Schizosaccharomyces pombe: one gene and its partners. The gene in region 2 interacts genetically with the main gene of each other region. Each region holds a gene or a part of one and is shown on either strand. Other genes may lie near its edges.

What was found.
Region 1: of pcr1 (region 2) and spo5, changing one suppresses a phenotype caused by changing the other (phenotypic suppression), as found in Schizosaccharomyces pombe (one study listed by BioGRID).
Region 3: of pcr1 (region 2) and tup11, changing one suppresses a phenotype caused by changing the other (phenotypic suppression), as found in Schizosaccharomyces pombe (one study listed by BioGRID).

Annotation. Positions count from the first base shown.
Region 1 is NC_003423.3:2,532,462-2,538,754, forward strand, and holds spo5 (meiotic RNA-binding protein 1), read left to right. Parts: upstream 1-3,688; 5' UTR 3,689-3,759; coding exon 3,760-3,989; intron 3,990-4,037; coding exon 4,038-4,381; intron 4,382-4,436; coding exon 4,437-5,566; 3' UTR 5,567-5,793; downstream 5,794-6,293. Other genes in the region: ccr1 (NADPH-cytochrome p450 reductase), read left to right, coding at 1,002-3,038; histone H3-H4 chaperone, CAF assembly factor (CAF-1) complex subunit A Pcf1, read right to left, coding at 5,858-6,293. UniProt on the Schizosaccharomyces pombe protein: RNA-binding protein which plays a role in sporulation. Regulates the progression of meiosis I and may function in the vicinity of the Mei2 dot.
Region 2 is NC_003424.3:4,249,435-4,257,467, forward strand, and holds pcr1 (DNA-binding transcription factor Pcr1), read right to left. Parts: upstream 4,167-8,033; 5' UTR 3,485-4,166; coding exon 2,969-3,484; 3' UTR 2,708-2,968; downstream 1-2,707. Other genes in the region: yak3 (aldose reductase ARK13 family YakC, implicated in cellular detoxification from family members), read left to right, coding at 1-654; rpl801 (60S ribosomal protein uL2), read right to left, coding at 1,223-1,984; L-azetidine-2-carboxylic acid acetyltransferase Aca1, read left to right, coding at 5,426-6,055; cyclophilin family peptidyl-prolyl cis-trans isomerase Cyp8, read right to left, coding at 6,295-6,718, 6,784-7,698, 7,839-8,033. UniProt on the Schizosaccharomyces pombe protein: Involved in regulation of gene expression for sexual development. Binds and activates CRE sites (cAMP-response elements, also known as M26 meiotic recombination hotspots).
Region 3 is NC_003424.3:298,778-305,738, forward strand, and holds tup11 (transcriptional corepressor Tup11), read right to left. Parts: upstream 3,020-6,961; 5' UTR 2,935-3,019; coding exon 2,811-2,934; intron 2,744-2,810; coding exon 2,659-2,743; intron 2,635-2,658; exon of another isoform or gene 2,487-2,634; coding exon 851-2,486; 3' UTR 501-850; downstream 1-500. Other genes in the region: SPOM_SPAC18B11.11 (GTPase-activating protein), read right to left, coding at 1-9; SPOM_SPAC18B11.09C (serine O-acetyltransferase activity), read left to right, coding at 4,384-4,454, 4,557-4,863, 4,939-5,016, 5,075-5,242; protein pat10, read left to right, coding at 5,686-5,758, 5,897-5,954, 5,994-6,083, 6,142-6,178, 6,223-6,252; rhp6 (ubiquitin-conjugating enzyme E2 2), read left to right, coding at 6,946-6,961.

The sequences.
Region 1 (6,293 bases), on a different chromosome or scaffold from region 2:
CTTACTGAATGGTTCAAAATGTACCGTACTACGGTAGCCATATTAATTGGTTCGTCAAAATAAATCCTAAAGTGTATAGCAACGGTTTTTTCAAAGCTCACCTACTTTTTACTGATCGTCATTATAATTAGTAAAACAATAAACACCTACTAGTAGAATCGCCGATTTACCATAATTTCGTATTGCGCTTAATTCTCTTCCCGAGGTATTTTGTTATTGCGATGGCTTGCCACAATAAATTAACTATTGTACGATTGCCGTCACACTATTTCTATCTAAAAATACTCTCATTCCCATTCCCATTTTTATCTCTCCATCCATACTTACTACATATGTTGGATATCTATATCTGTCAAACTTTAACTTCGTTGAACATGCTAATTAACCAAAATTAATACATGAATTTATTAAATAGTTTTTTATTAATTAATAGAAATTTTCAAAAAGTAATCATTGAAAAATCGAACTATATTTTTTTTTTTTATATTATAGCAGTATATAGGTGCAGGAGTTACCAGCGACCAGGTATTAGCGTTTGCCAAAACAATTAGCTTTTCTCCCGAAAGGATTGCTTTTTGAAGTCAATTACTTTAGAAGCTTTCTAGCATCTATTTGATTGTTCAATTGGCATGGTTATTGTGCTCATCATATAAAGCGCAGTTGTTTCATTAATTAAGTATCTTAGCCTACATACTTCATCTTGATTTTTATAGATTCTTTAGAGTATTTGGATAAATACTTGACTTTTTGTTTAAGAGGCTATAGAAACCCTTGTTTGAGTTTCTTCATTTTTATTGTCTCGCGCTTTAGTGTATCTGCTTCAAAGTGGTTCAAGCTAAAAAAGCATAGTACTGTTTCGCTCTTTATTTCGCATCTGCCTATCATCAGACAATTCTGTTGACTCACTCGTTTTTTACACGCACATTTACCCTTGGAATAAAAGGCGGATTAAATCCCGAAGTTGAACACTCGTAAAATTTGGTTATTATATTTTTTGCATTATGAAGACTTATGAATATGTATTGCTGGTCATTATTTTGATCCTTAGCTTGTGTTACTTTATTTATAACAATTTTCTCAACAAGCCAAAGGCTCCTGAGAGGCGAGTCGTGGCTACCGACAGTATTGTCGAGTTGATGGAGGCCGAAAAGCTCACTGCCGCGGTTTTCTTTGGATCTCAAACTGGTACCGCTGAGGACTTTGCCTACCGTTTTTCAACGGAAGCAAAGGCAAACTTCAATCTTACCAATATGGTTTTCGATCTTGAGAACTATGATTTAACCGACTTGGACAACTTTGATAGATCAAAACTATTGGTATTCTTTCTCGCAACTTACGGTGAAGGTGAACCTACGGACAATGCGGAGGCCTTTTTGCAACTTCTTGAGGGCGATGATACCGTTTTTTCAAGTGGAAAAGGCATTGAAGATACTCCCTTCGAAGGAATTCGTTATGCAATTTTTGGCCTTGGAAATCATACCTATGAGTATTATAACGCAATGGCTAAAAAGGTAGATGCTGCAATGACTCGTTTAGGCGCTACTCGTGTGGGCAATCTAGGTTTGGGCGACGATGCCGCTGGTATGCTTGAAGAGGACTATTTACAATGGAAGGATGATACTTTACCTGAGATAGGTAAGCTGTTCCATTTGCAAGAAGTCCACAAGGAATACAATCCTATGTTTGAAGTTATTGAGAAGCCTGAAATTTCCAACACTAGTTCTACTGTCTTTTTGGGAGAACCAAGTCGTCAGCAATTGAAAGGAAATGTTGCATCGAAAGCTCCACGTTCTCAAGCTAATCCATTTTTCTCTTCTCCTGTCAGATCTCTTGAGCTATTCAAATCTGGAAGTCGTAATTGCTTACATTTAGAGTTGGATATCGCAGACTCTGGTATGCGATATCAAACAGGTGATTACGCTTCTATTTGTCCTATGAATCCTAGTCAAGCTGTTGATGATCTTCTCGAAGTTCTCGGTCTCAAAGAGAAGAGGGATACTGTAATAATTGTTAAACCTATCGATACTCTCGATAAGGCTCCTGTTTTAAGTCCTACTACCTATGACACTGTTTTTCGCTACTACTATGAAATATGTGGTATCGTCTCCAGGCAACTGCTTTCTTTTATTGCTCCTTTCGCTCCTACACCAGAATCTAAGCAAGAACTCGAGAAATTAGGCAACGATTATGACTACTTTAAGAAGAACGTTGTAGACTTGCACCTAAACCTTGCTCAAGTCCTTCGTCGTGTTTCTCCTGACGCTCCATTTACAAAACTTCCATTCTCAATGCTATTGGAAAATATGGCACACATGAAACCGCGTTACTATTCGATTTCCTCGAGCAGTGTAGTGCATCCTGACAAAGTTCACGTTACAGCGGTAGTTGACAAGAAAGAATGGACTGATAAGAATCATATCTTTTATGGACTAACTACTAATTATTTGTTGGCACATTGTCGTCATATGCACGGTGAAAAAATTCCACATCCAAATGGTTTGGAATATACCCTTGAGGGTCCTCGTAAAAACTGGACCGGAAAAATTCCGATGTTTGTAAAGAAATCTACTTTTCGATTGGCTCCTCCCGATGTCCCCATAATAATGGTAGGCCCGGGTACTGGTGTAGCCCCATTCCGCGGTTTTGTGATGGAACGGGCTAATTTAGCTTCTAAAGGAGTTAAAGTAGCAAAAACACTTTTATTTTATGGTTGCCAATATTCTGACAAGGATTTTTTATATAAGGAAGAATGGCAACAATACAAAGATGTCTTGAAAGACTCTTTTGAACTGATTACCGCATTTTCCCGTGAGCAAGATCATAAAATCTATGTTCAGCACCGTCTTTTAGAGCACAGTGATACCATTGCTAAACTTGTAGAAGAAGGGGCTGCTTTTTATATCTGCGGTGATGCTGATCATATGGCTAAAGATGTTGTGAATGCATTGGCTTCTATTCTGACCACTGTTGATGTTGACGGTATGAAAGCCGTTAAAGCTCTTCGAGATGACAATAGATTTTTTGAAGATACCTGGTAAGTTTGGAATTTATCCAGACTTTGCGATTACTTCAAGACTTAATGATGCCTTTTCATCTTAGAAATAGTTTAATACAATCATTATTCCACTCGGTATTTTTATCTATAGAAAACATAGTTTTTGTAGCAACTAACGAACAGTACTCTGTAACGTTATAATATCAAAAATAAACTGCCAACTTGAATTTCTTACTGCTCAAAAATGTCTACCGAAAATGCGAATCTACACAAAGTGCTGTGTTTGTCATGATTGAAAAACCTAAACCGACTTAAAGCTGGGTAACAAAGTAAACACTGGCAGTCGACTTCATTGCACTTCAATAATTAAGGCGATTGCGAATGTTTGATCAATTTACATACAATAGAAAGTATTTGATAATTCTTTTTTTGCTTTAAAAATACACGCATCAAGTTAGAGTACAGGATGCTATAAGTTAAATCCTCGGTCAATGTGTACTTGTCAACGCAAAACATTGAGTAATATGCGGAAAAGTTAAGTTTCCAAAAGTACAAGCATAATTAATACATGTATCCTAACTGTATAATAAAACTGAGCCTTTAAGTGTATTTTTTTTCTACGTTATCAAATCTAATGCAACACAATGCTATCCTTGATTTGTTTATTAACAGATTTCGCGCGCTCAAAAACTTACCTTTAACATATATTCAAACATTAAAGTATACATAATTTAAAAATTATTTACTTAAAGCATATAAGAGCGATGAATGGAATAATTACGCCTCAAAAACAAAAACAATTAATGTCTTCTCCTTCTCGTGATCCATTATCCACTACCGAATTGTCTACTCCAACAAGTCAAACAACTGTGGATGTCAATGACACGAAAAAAAGTGAAGGATTGGACTCTACAATTATACTATTAACACCAGGAACAAGCCCAAACGCAACGCCTGGTTCTAGCGAGTTAGGGCTTTCCAAGAAGCCAAACAGGTAAAGGGCTATTACAGATGTGTAATGTAATACTAACTAGGAATATAGTATAAAAAACAATACTTATTCTACAGCAGCACAGGCCGCGTATTTAAATAGGCGTGCTGCTGATCAATCAACCGTTATGACAACCGATCCTATTTCATATGCAAATAACAATATTAATAATGGAACACTGCCACAACAAAACGCCTACTATGCCAACTCTTATTATCCGTCATACTATGCACAGTCACAAGCCATTTCCAACAATCGACCGGGTGTCTCTGGATTCCGTCCTGCATTCAATTCTGTAGCTCCTTGCTATGGTTCACAATGGCAGACTCATCAGTCTGTTCACCCTTATCATGTTAACAATACTCATCAGTATTTAAAACCATATGTTCAGAATGGTATGATACACAGCTTATGAAAAAACTAATACTTACCAAACTTTTCGTCTTTTAGTATATCCTCAAATGCCCTCTTTAAATCAGCCGGGACTTCATATTGTCAATCAACCAACATATCTCGCGCCAGTTCCTTCAGCGACTGTGCCTACGAATTCAGTTTCTCTCTCGATGCCTTCTTTTTCCCAAGGGCAAAAAAATATTCCCGCTGCCATTAATCAAGAAATGAGTGTCGGTACAACAAAGGAGAATACAAATTACCTTTCTCAACTGGTTGGATTGCATCCTGCAATTCCTCCTGCCATTCCCAGCATGTTTCCCATGTCTCATGATAATAAAAAAAGTAACATGGAAAGCACTTCTCGTACTCGGAATGTTTACATTCGTGGTTTACCTCCCAACACTTCGGATGAAAATTTGTTGCTTTACACCAATCGTTTTGGTAAAGTTAGTAGCAGCAAAGCAATAATTGATATGGAAACGAATTTATGTAAAGGATATGGGTTTGCATGCTTTGAAGAAGAGAAATCTGCATTGATTTGCATTTCAGCCATGACTTTATGTGGATATCAGTGTTCATTTGCAAAAGAAAGTTTCAGTGCACGTCTTCAAAGTCTACAAGACACAGAAAGCACCAATCTGTATATTTCTAATCTTCCTCTTCATTGGAATGAAAGTGATATTTCCACATTGTTTAAACCCAGCAAAATCATATCAAACCGCGTACTTCGTGACTCTAAGGAACAATCTCGAGGTGTTGGGTTTGCTCGTATGCAAGATCGTAAAACGGCTGAAGACATAATTAATAAATTTAATAACTTTGTCTTGGATCCTGCTTTACCCCCATTACAAATCCGTTTTGCTGATTCCACTGATCAGAAGAAGTTTAAAGGTCAGACTCAGAAAAGAAGATTATGGCGTGCTCGTGAATACAGTGTTTTAACTAAGGGAATGACAGCTAATAATGCTTTTTCCAAAGTTGAGGAGTTCGCAAATAACTCTATGCCCTCTAAAGTTGGAATGTATGTGCCATTGGAGTCGAACACAGTCTATCAACATTCACCCACTTATGATACTTACGGTTGGCAAAGTATGTATCCCTCTTATTCCGTTTATCCCTCAAACTATGAAAACAGCAGAAGTACTACGCCATATCATGCCCATCCCGCTACTTCTGCTGCTAATTAAATTTAAACATCTTTCCAGCATTTACTTGAACATCAAACTCTAATATCGAAATCTTTTCAAACACTTATCACATACTCAAACTTAAACCAACATAAAACCTGTTAGACAAAGCTTACAATTAAGGGCCAAAGCTTTCTTTCTATGTTTTTTCTTTTATTTATTATCAGGTTATATAACAAAGGTCAAACCACTACAGTATTAATGAATGATATTATACATATTTGCTTAATCGTATAAAAAGAGAGAGGTATAAATAGTCCTTGAGTGTTCAAGATAATTGCACACTGTGAATTAAGAGGATAAAAGGGATGCAAAATTCTCCTTGATTATCCAACCATCAGATACTGATTTTCCTTTACGCACAGCGACTTTTCCAAGAGTTTCGCTGATAATATTTTTGGTTACGTAAGGAAACATGTGCCTCAAATTCTCGATCAGGAATACTTTGTTGTCATGAGAGTTACGGACATATTCTATAAATTTGGGTATATCTTCAGAAGGAAACCTTACTTGTAAATCATCAGAAAGTGAACTGGTAGGTCCAATTGTCATTCCACTAGACGCTGGAGCAGTATCTTGAGAAGCCCATAAATCCTCTTTAGGATCAATTTGGAGATATGTAGATGCTGAAAATGAACTAATGGGTTCAATTAAAGATAAGCAATTAAAGTCAGGAAGAAACTTTGAATCCCAAACCGGACCTTCTACGATTACCTCTAATGGGCCG
Region 2 (8,033 bases):
TACGTCCATCGCTTCAGCGGTGAGACTCCTATTGAAAAGATCATGGGCGCCCTTAAGAAGTGCGTTGAAGCTGGAAAGATTCGTTACATTGGTCTTTCTGAATGCAGTGCTAACACCATTCGTCGTGCAGCCGCTGTTTATCCGGTCAGTGCCGTTCAAGTTGAGTATTCTCCCTTCTCTTTGGAGATTGAGCGCCCTGAAATTGGTGTCATGAAGGCTTGCCGCGAAAACAATATCACCATTGTTTGCTATGCCCCTCTTGGCCGTGGTTTCTTGACTGGTGCATACAAATCCCCTGATGATTTCCCTGAGGGCGATTTCCGCAGAAAGGCCCCTCGTTATCAAAAGGAAAACTTCTACAAGAACTTGGAGCTTGTTACAAAGATTGAAAAAATTGCCACTGCCAACAATATCACACCTGGCCAGCTTAGTTTGGCTTGGTTGTTAGCCCAAGGTGACGATATTCTTCCCATTCCTGGTACCAAACGTGTTAAATACTTGGAGGAGAACTTTGGCGCTCTCAAGGTTAAATTATCCGATGCCACTGTTAAGGAAATTCGTGAAGCTTGTGACAACGCTGAGGTAATTGGTGCTAGATATCCTCCTGGTGCTGGATCCAAGATTTTCATGGATACCCCTCCTATGCCCAAGTAGATTTAGTCTTTCTCGTATATGGTTTTAAAATTGTGCATGTTTATAGTTACCTTCATTTATGCTGGAAGAAATGAAATGAATTTTTGTTAGTTGTGCATTGTCATACATCGAGGAAGTGTACAGATTTCCAATTTTCAATGATTGTAGCAGAATGCCGAAATTAACATACTAAAGTATCCGTAACAACTGATAGTTTATAAACTTAAAAGTCATGAGTTAAATGCATTACGAAACTAGCCCACGGTACTAATGCCATGAAATTATGAACAATCGCCGGCAAGTATTCTAGTACTCTTGGCTGCTAAAAAGCCGGATTTAAGTGCACTACACAAAACAGTTAATCAAGTTTTGAAAATTTGATCGTTATTAATAGCATAGTACATTGAGAAACTCTTTGACAATTAAATTGGATGTTTACATGTGGGTTTACAAGCTTAATATGCTCTTGGGTTACGCATACACCATACCTACCAAGACTACAACGAAGCAAATCTACTCACTACTAAAGACTATCAACACATTTTCACACTGTTTACTGCCAGAAAATATATATTTTGATTGAGGAGGTCTAATTTTCGACAGCAGCAGCACCACGCAAGAGACCAGTTCTGCGAGCGGCAATGAGACCAACCTTTTGACCAGGAGCGGATTGGCGAGGAACAGTGGTAGAGTGACCAACGTGTTGATGGTTACCACCACCGTGAGGATGATCGACGGGGTTCATAGCAACACCACGAGTACGAGGCCAGCAGTTGCGCTTAACACGGTATTTGTGGAAAGCACGACCAGCCTTGAGCAAAGGCTTGTCAATACGTCCACCACCAGCGACAATACCGACAACACCACGAGCAGAAGAGGGGACAACCTTTTTGGCGCCAGAGGGCAACTTAACACGGGTCTTGCCAGTGTCAACATCATGTCCGACAATGATAACGTAGTTACCAGAAGAACGACCTAATGCACCACGGTCACCAGCCTTCTCCTCAACGTTGGAGATGATAGTACCCTCAGGCATCTCACCAACAGGCAAGACATTACCAACGGTCAAAGCAGCGTTCTTACCGCAGTAGACGAATTGGCCAGTGTACATACCCTCGGTAGCGACGAAGGTCTCAACATCGGTTCTGTAGTGATAAGGGTTACGGAAAGCAACCTTGGCCAAAGGAGCACCGCGACCAGGGTCGTGAATGATCTTTTGAACAACACCACGAATGTATCCGTGACGTTCAGCAAAGTCCAAGGTACGGAGCTGAGCGGCACCCTTACGGAGGCGGGTATGAGCCTGGAAAATTCCTCCACTCTTTCTTTGTGCTCTAATAACACGACCCATTTCTGGTGTTTTGGTTGTTGGAGAATACGGTATTGAGGTTGCAAATTCAAGTGGTGAATTGTTGTAAAATGTGACTGTTTTCGGTCATCCAAAATTTTTTGACTTAAGTATTATGCATTTCGTTAATGGAAAGCCTAACGAGAAAAAAAATTGGTGCGAAATCATGTGAATAACGAGATGCATGTAATTTACCGTACCTCCCTAAATTCTTAGGAGTGCTATACTGTTGAGAGCAGTAGAAATGGAACAGATTGGATAAATGAGATAAATTGTAATAACGTGAATATTTATTTATTTACATAATGAATGCAGTTGGGAAATTAAAGAAAGTGATGCTTTAACGCAGACACTTCTTTTGCATCATGATACACGGATTGTGGTATAAATAACTGAAAGAAAAAAAGAGACATTCTACTGTTTACAAATAAAATCAACAGCATACCACAGTTGCTCCAACCAGAGCTTTTTAAAAAAAAAAACCAAATTAATAGCTTAAGATCTTTTTTTCAGTTTGCCAAATGAAATTATAAATCTGTACATTTAGAAAGAAGAACATTTTTTATGTTTTAGGTAACTGACGAGAATAGGCAATCTGGCAATAGTTCAAGAAATCAAATCAAATACATCGAAGAAGTAAGTGGAGATGTAGCAAGCGCAAAGTCATACTTCAAAGAAGTTTATAAGCATCGTAAAGTTATTTTCTTTTCACATTTCATAAAGACAAATATTTTGAAAACCCGGCGAGGAAATTCGAAATAATAATAGATAAAGGTCATAACAAAGAAAACGTCTGTGCAAAAAAATAATAAGGACAGAAATTTGAAAAGAATTCCATATGCATCGGTAATTCAACACTTAAAAACGCCCGACTGTCATCTAGGAGAGAACATTAGGCTAAAATAGGAGCCATAAATCTACATGCAACATCACATTAAAATCAATTGCTTTATTGTAAAGGGGGGTAATGAAAACAAATGTTCTTTTTCAGATGGGCCCACCAAGGGATCTAGGAAGCCCGGCTGCTGAGAACATATGTTGCTGGACATCATCGGAATTAGGCTGCTGAGAAGAAGGGGGCATTTGAGGGTGTTGATTTGGAGGGAGACCCTGCAATGATGGATGCATTTGAGTAGGGCTAACGGAAACCACAGATTCAAGCATGTTATCACCAGGAGGGGGTTGTACCGGCCGGTAAGCCATATGTTGAGAGTGGAGAGCATTGTGAGCAGTTTGAAAGTCTGTTAGGACAGAACGAATCTTTACACTACACTGACAACCCTGATGGGCAAGTAATTGGCTTTTCAGCCGAAAAGCCTCCTGTTGCAACTGAGACAGCAATAACTGAAGACGCTTGGATTGCTCAAAGGCAGCATTGGCAGTTTGCTCTAATTCTTTAATCCACTCTTTCTTTTTCTGGCGAAATTTAGAAGCGGCAATGCGATTGCGCTCCAGAATTCGGCGACGCTTTTCATCATCAACTTCTTTTTTTTTGGCAGTCATCTTAAATAATCAATGTATAGAAAAGGGGGAATCAGATGATCACAAACAAAAATATAACAAAGGAAACAAAGGGGGAGATGGGAAATTGAAATGAAAAAAAAAGTAAGAACGAAAAAAGAAATACCCTAAAGGATATATTTTAATTTAAAGGAAACTCCTACTTGGTGAATACAACACGCAGTAAAGAATTAGCACGACACACGCGCGAAATCAGGAGGAAGCAAATTAGACGGAGATAGCCAGTTTCTAAAGGAATACAGAAGAATGACAAGACGTCAAGAAACGTCAATTCTATAGAAGCGCTAGTCTTCTAAGATTAAAAACACACACGTGGGGGAATTAATTCGTAAGTAAACCGACCCCTAAAATTTTTTGTAATCTCACGACACACGTCAAATGTACAGCGCACACGTTGACCCAAAATTAACTAACAAAGGAGATCCCAAACGACTTCAATAAATACGTTGATATGTTATACTCTCTGAAAAGTTATACAAACACTTGATTTGCAAGGATGTCTCACCAAACTACCAAATTAACTGTTTAATGACCCAGAAAAAGCGAATCCACTGTGAAAACCGAATAAATTAAGAAAATTTAGTATTTAAAAATCAAATTTTAACAACTCTGTAGAATGAAAGGATTTTACCCTTTTACAATGGTATAAGCTACAATGGACCATAGACGGAAGTGGTCAAAGAGATGATTATATAGGATGATCAATGCTCGATGCATGATGTCATCGACAAGGAGGCTGTAATTATATCGATAAACAGAATAACGAGAGTTAGTGAAATTTAATACATGGCCGATTTTGATGTAAATAAAGGTTAGTGGACTTGCGAAGAAAGACAGACACAATTGAGAAAATAAAAAGAAAAATATTTTAAAAAAAAGAAACAATACTAAAGAAAATTGACTTGCAAATGAATTGTGAGAGACGTGGATACAAAAGACGAAAAAGCATCGGTGAATTTAAAAGAACCAAAAATGAGGCGAACAATTTTAATTTGGTTGATGGAAATGAATCATTTGATTAAAAGTGAAAATTTTTAAATTATTTTAGAAATGTAAATATTTTATCCTTGTGCGAACGTAAAATTGGTAAAATAAATTTTAAAGATTTTAAATAATTAAAAAACTCTAGCAAAAATATAGTCAATTCCAAAGTAACTGCATTTTAATTCGTTTTATTATTAAAACAGGAGGTTCAGGTACTGCACTTAATATAAATATATTAATTGAATTGTGTTTTTTTGGAATTTGTATAATTAATTATTTTCCAATACCACTAACCTAAAAATTTCGCATCTTCACTTTATACTGTACTTCATTATTTTTATTATCATCTCACATGTATTCTTCACTATTTAATAAACAATAAAAGAATATGAGAAATTGCAATGAGTGAATAAAGAAAAGACAATTAATATCGGATTCTTCATTCGTTAACAAGGAAGAAAGACTTAATCTATAGCACCGAAATATTAAACCGTTTCCATTAGCTTGATGTAGAAGTCGATCTAATGTTTCGCAAACCGAAAATACACAGACATGAATATGTACAAGCATTAACCAAGCATACAGAAAATCGAAAATCATCTAATACATGAATAATGAGAGCTTTATTACTTCGTCTCGCTTTCATATTCTAAAATACTTAATTATTTGCTTCTAACAAATAACGCTTTTTACCGTACTCTAGGAATTACTTGCAACAGATTTCTTCCTTGCATATTTTTAATCATTTGATTTATCTCTTCGACTTGATGATTTTATCACATTATTTCTGTATATCATACAGTTGTTTCCTGTTGTATATCAAGATGGCATCTTGATGAGTTTGAGTGATGATAATTTATCTATGTGTTTGTCGCTTAAATTATCTACTCCACATGGCTATAAAATCCCTTTAATTTTGTTCATAATCCATATCCCAACATGAAGGATCCAAATACTATTCCTCCATGGAGATGTACTGATTTTAATGCTTGGTGCATAGCCGTTGATAAATCTACAAACGTTAAGAACAAAGAAGAATTACTCAGTACCTTGACTTATTTCATCAACTATGAAATAGAGATGGGACAGACTTATCCAATCGACATTAAAATGACTCGCAATGAAGCGGAAGACTTTTTTTTTAAATTTTGTACTGTAATCTGTGTTCCTGTTGAGAGTGAGACATCACCTGCTCCAGATTTGGCTACGGCTTCAATTGACTGGAAAACGAGCTTACTCGGTGCCTTCTACATTAAGCCTAACTATCCCGGTCGATGCTCTCATATTTGTAATGGTGGATTTTTGGTTTCACCTAGTCACCGGAGCAAAGGCATTGGGCGTAATTTGGCCAATGCCTATTTGTACTTTGCTCCTCGAATTGGTTTCAAATCAAGCGTGTTTAATCTCGTTTTCGCTACCAACATAAAGAGCATTCGACTATGGGAAAGACTAAATTTCACACGAGCCGGTATTATCAAAGATGCTGGTAGACTTAAGGGTCATGAGGGATACGTCGACGCTTACATATACCAATACCATTTCCCTTCACTTGAAGATGCCTTAAAATAAACTTCCTTTACTTTTTCACAAATTTGCAATTCTCTCCTTTCAATTTTGGATGCCACACTTTCGATAGCAGTTTGTTTTAAGAGGCAAAGGTTCAATATTTGCTGCCTGCGAAGCTTCTTACTGTACAACAAAATGTTCAATAAATGATATGATATTAAAAAACCTTATAAACTCAGAAATAATTTAACAAGTCCCGTATATTAAGTTGTTTGGTATATATTTCGTTTGACTTAGTAAGTTTACCATGCGTCAAAATTTCCAAATCCTGTGCGTGCTTTTTTCTTTTTGGGATTTACAGTAGAAGTGAATGTCTTTTCTTCAAGTGATACTTCCTTTTTTAGATATTTTCCAACAGACGCATTTAGAGAATGATCCGTAGAAGACGCCGATAAATCCCTCCCAGTCCAAGAAGTGCGGTCTAAATTATTTTCCTCTTCTTCTTCTTGTCTTTTTCGTTTCTCCTTCTCCCGCTCATCTTTTTTCCACTCTTCGAATGGGTCTACAAATATTATGATGTCTTCAAGCTTGATTGGTAACTTGGGGTGATCATTACTGTTGGTAGGGACTTTTTCAAGAGCATCCAAAACATTTAAACCACCGACAACTCGACCAAATATTGTATGTTTATTGTCCAAATGTTTCGCTGGTCCATACAATATAAAGCTATAAATCAGGTTAGCACTTGCATTTCTTTGAAGCTTTTAAAAAATAGAGAAGAAAACACTTACAATTGACTTCCATTGGTATTTTTTCCACGATTGGCCATAGATATAATTCCACGATCGTCATGCTTTAAAGGGTTACAAAACTCGTCCTTAAACGGCTTGCCCCAAATACTTTGACCACCTCTTCCAGTTCCACTAGGATCACCTCCTTGAATCATAAATCTAGCAATATTGCGATGAAAAATTGTATTACGATAATAGCCCTGCTTGGCAAGCTGGACAAAATTGTAAACAGCATGGGGTGCATAGTCTGTATGCAACTCAATATTAATTTCTCCGTGATTAGTAACAATACGCGCGTATCCTTTGTGCTTGATCCGCGTATGGTTAAGCATATAATCTTCTTCAGCAATAATTGCTCTTTCATTCTTCGTTACAGGAGTAAATGATGTGGAGGTTAAGGAAGCTGCAGCATAACCAGTTGTATGGGATGCGCGATGAATTGGCATATCAGAAGCTATAGATTTAGATGAATCGAGAGAATGCGATAACTCAGGTGATGAAGTTGACTCCGTTGACTTGGCGCGAGATGCTTGTAAAGCAATTTTGGCCTTGGTTATTTTTTCATCTCTTGCGGTTTCCTTTTGTTTTTGAATGGCCGAAAAATCTCGGTTCTCAACGTTATGAGGATCCTGGATGGTAATTATGTCGTCTCTGGTAAATTGCTCTTCGTTCACGAGATCCCTCCAATGTTTTGGTTTTATGTTCAAACGTTCAATAGTATCCCAAGAAAAACAATTCCCTGTAGAACGGATAGCCACGATGTGTGAAAAGCGCGTAAAGCTTTTCATCGTAACTGGATCACAATACTCTTCAGCACTGTTTTTTGCAAACTTGAGCTTTATTAAATCTGACATTGATGCCTTTTGTCCATTAATAGGATTAGTACCATGTTTTCGAAGCCAAGGAACAATAAATCTAACACATGTTAGCGCTCATCACCACTTTTTTATGAAGAATGAAAGATTTCCAAAAGCAACTAGATTAGTTGGTAAACAAATATCATTTAATACCAAAAAATTTGCTTCGAAACTCACATCTAATAGTGATTTACATACCTAAAATCGAAAATAATGGCTTGCTTGGTTTCATCCACAAGACAACAAGGATGGTTAAAGGGCTGCAAGGAAAGAGAGCAATAATTAAAAGGAAGTTGTTTGTAACTTGTGGTACTGTTCTTTTGGGCTATGCCACTCATACCACCATGCCACCCATGCACACCCGAATGCTCAGTTTGTGTAATGTACAGTTTG
Region 3 (6,961 bases), 4.0 Mb from region 2:
AGCCTTCATAGCTTAGATATAAATCGATGCAGCAAACAACGACAATTTTTCTTTAACCCAAACGTAATATAGGTCCTGGGTTGGCACCGATTTAAGTATTAAGATTTTAAATATATTTAAAAAGTGCTAAATTAAAGATTTAATGAAGTAAACCCAAATTATAGACTGCTTAAGCCGTGGAGGATTATTATAAACTCCTGAAAAGATAGCCTTAAGAAACGTGCAGATATCGAACTGTAACGGATTGTAAAAGCACACCTCAATATAGCATCGATTAGGATTTATTCAATTTCTATGTTTTAGTCAATAAAATCGAAACAATGAGTCTTCTTCGCGTTGAAGAAGTCAGAAGATGGTTAATACATACATAATTTTAGCGAGTATATGATAAATCTGTTGGTGAATTTCGGAGTCAAGGTGGAGATATGCAAATTACTAAATACAAGAATAACCATTTAAAAAATGTTTAATCAACCACATGTATTTCAAGAATCTACATTGAAAAGTATTAAGTATTATCTCAAGTTATGCAACATTTATCATAGAACTAAAATTAAAAATTAAGGAATTTTTTATTAATTGTTTATTTTTTAAATAAAAAGTGTCTCAGTTAATTTATGAGAGAAGCCATTCTCCAAAATTAGTGACATTAAAAAACTGAGTGATGATTTGTCTATTGTGACCGTAAGTAAAGGAAATAATATTGCAAAAAAAATATGATACAAATTAAGGAAATATACCAGTGTAGTAATAGAGTTTACAAAATTTAGTTTGTAAACTTTGTAACCAAAAATCAATGCGGTTAACTATTTCCGAGAGCAAATAGTTATATGTAAACAGGAACAAAAATTCAAGGAGATGCAGGGTCAATTGACCATATGCGAGCACGTAAATCACCACTTCCCGAAGCAAATTGCCTACCATCTGGGCTAAAGCATACGGAAATAACTGAATTCTTGTGTCCTTGACAAGTGAGATAAGATTGGCCTGTTTGCAAATCCCAGAATTGCATACTTCTATCCTTCGATCCGCTTAATCCCCAACGGCTGTCGGGTGAAACAGCTACTGAAAGAACAAAATCAGTATGTCCTGTATAGGTGGCTTTGCAAATACCTTCAGGCTTAATAGCTGAAAGGCCAACTGAACGAGTTGCTTGTAATTCCCAGACTTTGATAGTCTTATCAAGACTTCCACTAAGAAGAATGCTGCTGTCGGGCGAAAAGGCAATAGAATAAACACTCTCCTTATGACCTTCCAATCGTTCAACCAAAGTACCCGACACAGACCATACTCGAATTATCTGATCTAGACTACCAACTGCAATGAATTGATCATTTGGAGAGATGGCTATTGCCGTCACACCATTCTCAATTTCTAACTTTAAAATACATTGACCTGTCTCCACATCCCAGAGTCGTGCAGTTCGATCGCCACTACCAGAGACGATGAATCGCCCATTATGGCTAAAATCTAAGGAATAGATATCTTGTTCATGACCTGAAAATACGTAACGAACTTTTTGAGTTGAGAGATCCCAGAGTTTTATTTGACGATCTTCTGTTCCCGTGACTAAATACTTACCATCAGGGCTGAAAGCAATGGTTCTCACATACAAATCACGGGAAGGATCAGGTGATTCTTCATGCAAAGTAAAAAGTTTTTTGCCAGTCTGAACATCAAAGACATTAGCGGCCTGGTTACAGCCAGTTGCTAAATACTTGCCATTGTTACTAAACTTAACGCAGCAAACAACACTGGGATGCTCTAGTGTGTGCACGAGATTAATATTAAAAACCCTTTTGCATGCTGGGTTATAAGTGACGTACCAACTCTGAGAAGTTGTCTTTCTAGCAGCTTCTGTATCTGAAACTGGAGCAATCTGTTCTCTTCCCTGATATTCTCCATCAGGACCCGCTTGGGATATAGAACCAGCATTCGCAGAAGCAGTCATAGAAGGTTCAGCCGAAGGAGTTGCTTTGGTAGGAATACGCGGTGGCTGGACATTCACAGCAGGTTTTGAAGTAGCACTTGGATTATAATAATTGGAAACACCAGGCAATTGAGGATTTGGTTGTTGAGAAACCTGATTTGCTCCGTAATTAACAGGAGGGATATATAAAGGTGTAGTACTAGGTAAATTGGATGTAGATATCGCGGGATTTTGAGAAGCAATTCCCTGATTAAAATTTTGCCCGCTAGAAGCCTCTACTGAAGGAGGAATTGGAGGCATCAATACTTCAGCAACATTATTTTGAGGATAAGCTGATTGGTGAATTGGAGGGATTTGCTGAAAGGCAGGTAGATGGTTACTTGGAGGCTGAGAAGTAGATTTGGTTTGAGAGGGATGTTCCTGATCAATATGGGTAACTTGATTATTAGAAGCGGCAAGTTCAGATCTTTCTCCACGATTTCTATAACTTGCGGTATTCGCTTCGACACCTAATTCTTCAAGCTCTCGCTTCAACTTGTTGATATCTTTTTCGTACCTATAAATGTTAGTAAATTGGTGAAGACAGATGTTATAAAGGTTTTTTTTTTTTTACTTCAAGCATATAAATCTCGAGCGACACGTATGCTATTATAAAATAATGATGAATTTCACAGAAAAGAAGTAGATACTATATAATCCCTCGATACCTTTAACATATAAAAACTTACGTTTCTCTAATAGATTTTTGTTTTTCATACATATCATCCACGGTTTTTCGGAACGCTTCAATTTCTTGAATTTGAGATTGTATCACTGCAATAGAACAGAATGTTAGTTTCCAAAAAATAGCTAATTTAATTTATTTTATTCAAACACGTACTAGAAGATTCATAGTCGTTTCCGCGCGCCTTGGACGCGAAGCTATGATGAGCCAAAGCATTGTATTCAGCCTTCAACGCATCCAGCATTTCTTGAACTTTCGTGGCATCCTCCACTGACGCCATTTTTTTTTTCAGTCAGACTTATTGCAAAAACTGAATCCGATTGATATACGCCCTTTTACAACAATAGCAACACTTGAATTGTGGTACAAGAATAAACTTGTGTTCTTGAACGTTTGTAGCAGCACTTTTATCGAGCGGCTCCTTGTGCTGCGCTAATCTTTAAATAGAGAATGTGGTGCTACATATTTTTGGTTGAGCAAGTATCACAAAATTAGTATGGCGTGTGTGTTGGCAACTTGTCCCAATTATTTTGAAATTCATTTGAATTATAGAGAAAAGCAATTCGAAACCCTTTACTGTTTGATTTTTTGTAGCGTTTATATTATTTTTTTGAATATAGATTTTCTTGCTTTTCAGTTGATGTTTGTTATAAAAAAATAGTTATAACTTTGAAACGTAGTGTAATTCATTTTTTTTTTATTGATGGAAAAATTTGTTAACCGTTTTTATATATCAATATAAAAAAATTAAAATTTGTGTTTAATCAATTTATTATCTGATCCTTGTTTAATTAGATTGTTTACCGACCTTTGTAAGACATTATTACAGTGAGTTTTATCTTGATAAGTATTAATTAAAAGTTATGATAGTATTTAACCCGTAAATTCACATTTCATTTGCTAATGACTCAGTTAATCATAAGTGACATTATTTGTTTAATGATGCGAAATTTGACGCACTTTACTGATATTAAAACATTGTTGGTTGTCTTAAAGATGCTTTTTTCATATAATCTAGTTATCATGAAGAAGGATGAAAAAATCCCATAGTTGAAATTTATTAACACTAAAGCAAAATGTTTAAGCGCAGCAAACCGAAGCCGTCAGAAATTGAGCATTTAATCTGACACGATATGCCATTTACACTTCAAGGGCGATTAATAAATACACTTTGGATTTATTTTTAAATCATATTTATTGCTTATTTACTTATCAATTTTTGTTTGATGTACTATTTAAGTTGTTTTGAATTTTTTTTTTATATGACATTAGTTTGGGATTACTACCCAGTTTAATCAGTTTAATGATACAGGAGGAAAGCAAGATTAAAAAAGGGACGGACAACGTTCATTGCATATCTTGTTATTGCTTGTCAGTTTACGGCCCTCAGCGTTTGTTAAGCTACACTAACTATTTACTTGTAACTTGATAAATTTTGGTATGCTGGTGGTAATACGAGTAGGGGCCAGACATAAAGCAATGCGACAATTAATGATATGTTGCATAGTGGGGCATAATGTAGTGTAACAGCTGACGCTATATATCATCGAGATGTTTTTACTTACGTTTTACAAACTATTTCACTAAAAAGTTTCCGTATAGTTTTATCAGCAATTTGTTAATATTGATATCAATACATATATATATATATATATAAGTCTATTTATACATCGATAACTCTACTAGTCCCATTGTCAATGCTAGTGAATATACTTGTTTTCCGACAGAAATGACTCGTACTCGTGTACAAAAAATGATACCGAAAACCATTGAATACCAAAAAATGATATCTGGTCAACCGTAAGGCTAATGCTTAAAACTTGTCGAGCTAATATATCATCTTCGTTGACATGTTTGAAGTCACATTGAACGCAGGGAGATATTCTAATTACTAAATAACAGGTACAAGGCTTACGACGAGGAGTTGACTCAAGCGAGATGTAATGCTAAAAAATTAATGCGAAGGTTTAATGACACTATGGGAGATTTGGAAAATGTAGGCCCAGCAGAATTGATTAAAAGACGAGCTGAACTGTTGGCTGAAGTTTTTGTATTTGACGAATCTTCAGCACCAGAGATTGAGCCACCTATGGCTTTTGATTACGGATTTAACGTTCATTTTGGAAAAAAATTCTTTGCAAATTATAATTGTACATTTCTAGATGTTGCCATAATTACTATTGGTAATAATGTAATGCTAGGCCCCAATGTATGTTTATATATATATATAGTTACTTTCAAGTCATTCATTCAAAAAATAAATATACTAATGGTGTCTTTCCAGGTTCAACTATGTACAGCAACACATCCCTTGGATTTTAAAGCAAGGAACTCCGGAATTGAATTTGGTTTACCAATTAACGTATGCGTTAGTCCAGTTATTGAAACATCTTACAACTAACAAACAAAATTTTATCAAGATTCAGGACAATGTTTGGATTGGTATGGGAGTTATAGTTCTCCCAGGTGTTACTATCGGGGAAGGCAGTGTAATTGGAGCGGGTGCTGTTGTTACAAAAGACATCCCACCTAATACGTTGGCTGTAGGATCACCTGCCAAACCTATTCGTAAAATTGAAAACGAGTGAACGAGTGTAATTTTTTTTTTTATTATTTCATCTAACGATTAAATGCTCTTTGAACTTCTTAAGTTCACCTGGCTTGGTTCCTAAATTTTTAAAATAGTATAAATAATATTATATTATGTTTGAGCTTTAAATTGTTATATAGAAGACTTAGAATGCTAAAAGAAATCCATTTCTCACTCGCCAAGTAGGATCAGTTTCCTCCTATGACTTGCTAAAGCCCCCACGTGGTACTGCAATCGATTTTAATTCTAATGCTTAGCCAAGTCTAAAATAGTTGAAATTCTTAGTGGGATAAGAACTCTTAACCCCCACGATATATTTGAATGCTAAATAACCTAACCTAAAACCATTTTACACATTTTATTACTAACTTCATTATATTCTTGTAGAGGAACCATCCCATTCACCAGTTCTGAAGTCTCGACAACGAAAATTCATAAAATATGGCGCCTGCAGAACTTAAACGACCTGATTTAATCGTTCCCTACAAAGCTAGAGTCAAAGCAAATGAAGAAGGTAAAGTAGAAAGCACTTTCAAATTGAACCCAATCGTGAGTTACGCTGATTTAATCGCTCAAGCTTTAGTTCATTGTGGAATATTTTAAATCCTTTCTTTCGTCAAATAATTTATTAAGTTTGCTAACCCTATTATAGTTGGCTTGAGTTTGGTAAGCACAGCCACGTGTATGGCTGCTTTATTTCTTCGTTTCAAGTATGTAAGATATTTTAGGATTTTCATGTTAACGAGAAGATTAATTGCATGGGTTGCTTTTATCCTAACCTTTTCAAATTTACTGAACGCAAATACGTCTCCCAGCTCATCTCCGACTTCAATGGCTTTGTAAGTAATCCTAATTCATTGCATTAATGTAGTTCTATGGATGTTAACATTTGATCAGTATGGGTATCGCGGCTCTTGTGTCAACATATTTACCGGTAAGTTGAATTTTTATATTTACTTTGTCGATTAACTTGTGCAGCAATTTTTAAATACTCCAAACAAAACTTAGTAATTTTTAAGTCAGTGAATTAATAAGAGTATTAAGCTGATTTTTTTCTGGATAATTAAATTTATGCACAATGTAAATATCTAATGGTGAAGAGTTCAGATACATTTCTAACTACCATTTCAATCACGTAGCAGACGCGTAAAAAATTGGCTGTTTGTGTTTTCTCATTGTTAAGCTAGTGAAAATGTAAATTTATTTCTTACATCCTGTTGCTCTTTCATTTTTTCTTCCTAATGTATTTTAGTTGCTTTTTTAAACCCAATGAGAACAAAGGCTTAAAGTAAATATATATAATTTTCACATGTTCAACAGTTTACCGTTAACAAATGCACGGACCTTGATTATGATTAATGGTTGAATGAAAAATATCAACTTTCCTTATCTTTAACTATAATTTAAATGAAGTAGTAGTTCATTAATACTAAAGCAGACTTGCATTGCAAATGCTGAACATTACTAAAAGGTTGGTCTAGTTATAAGGTAACTGAGCGTGCACTTTATTATTTTAACGTGTTGGGTGCGCCCCATTAATAATGAAATACTGCATATGAGTGAATGGTCCTACTATTGTTCCCTGCCCTTCTCCAACAACGCAAATCGGATATCCTAACTCGGTGTAATTCCAAGGCGATATCGATATTTGTGCAACTTTTTTTTAAAGTTATCACAAATAGAAGAGAGGTTGCTATAAAAATGTCAACGACCGCAA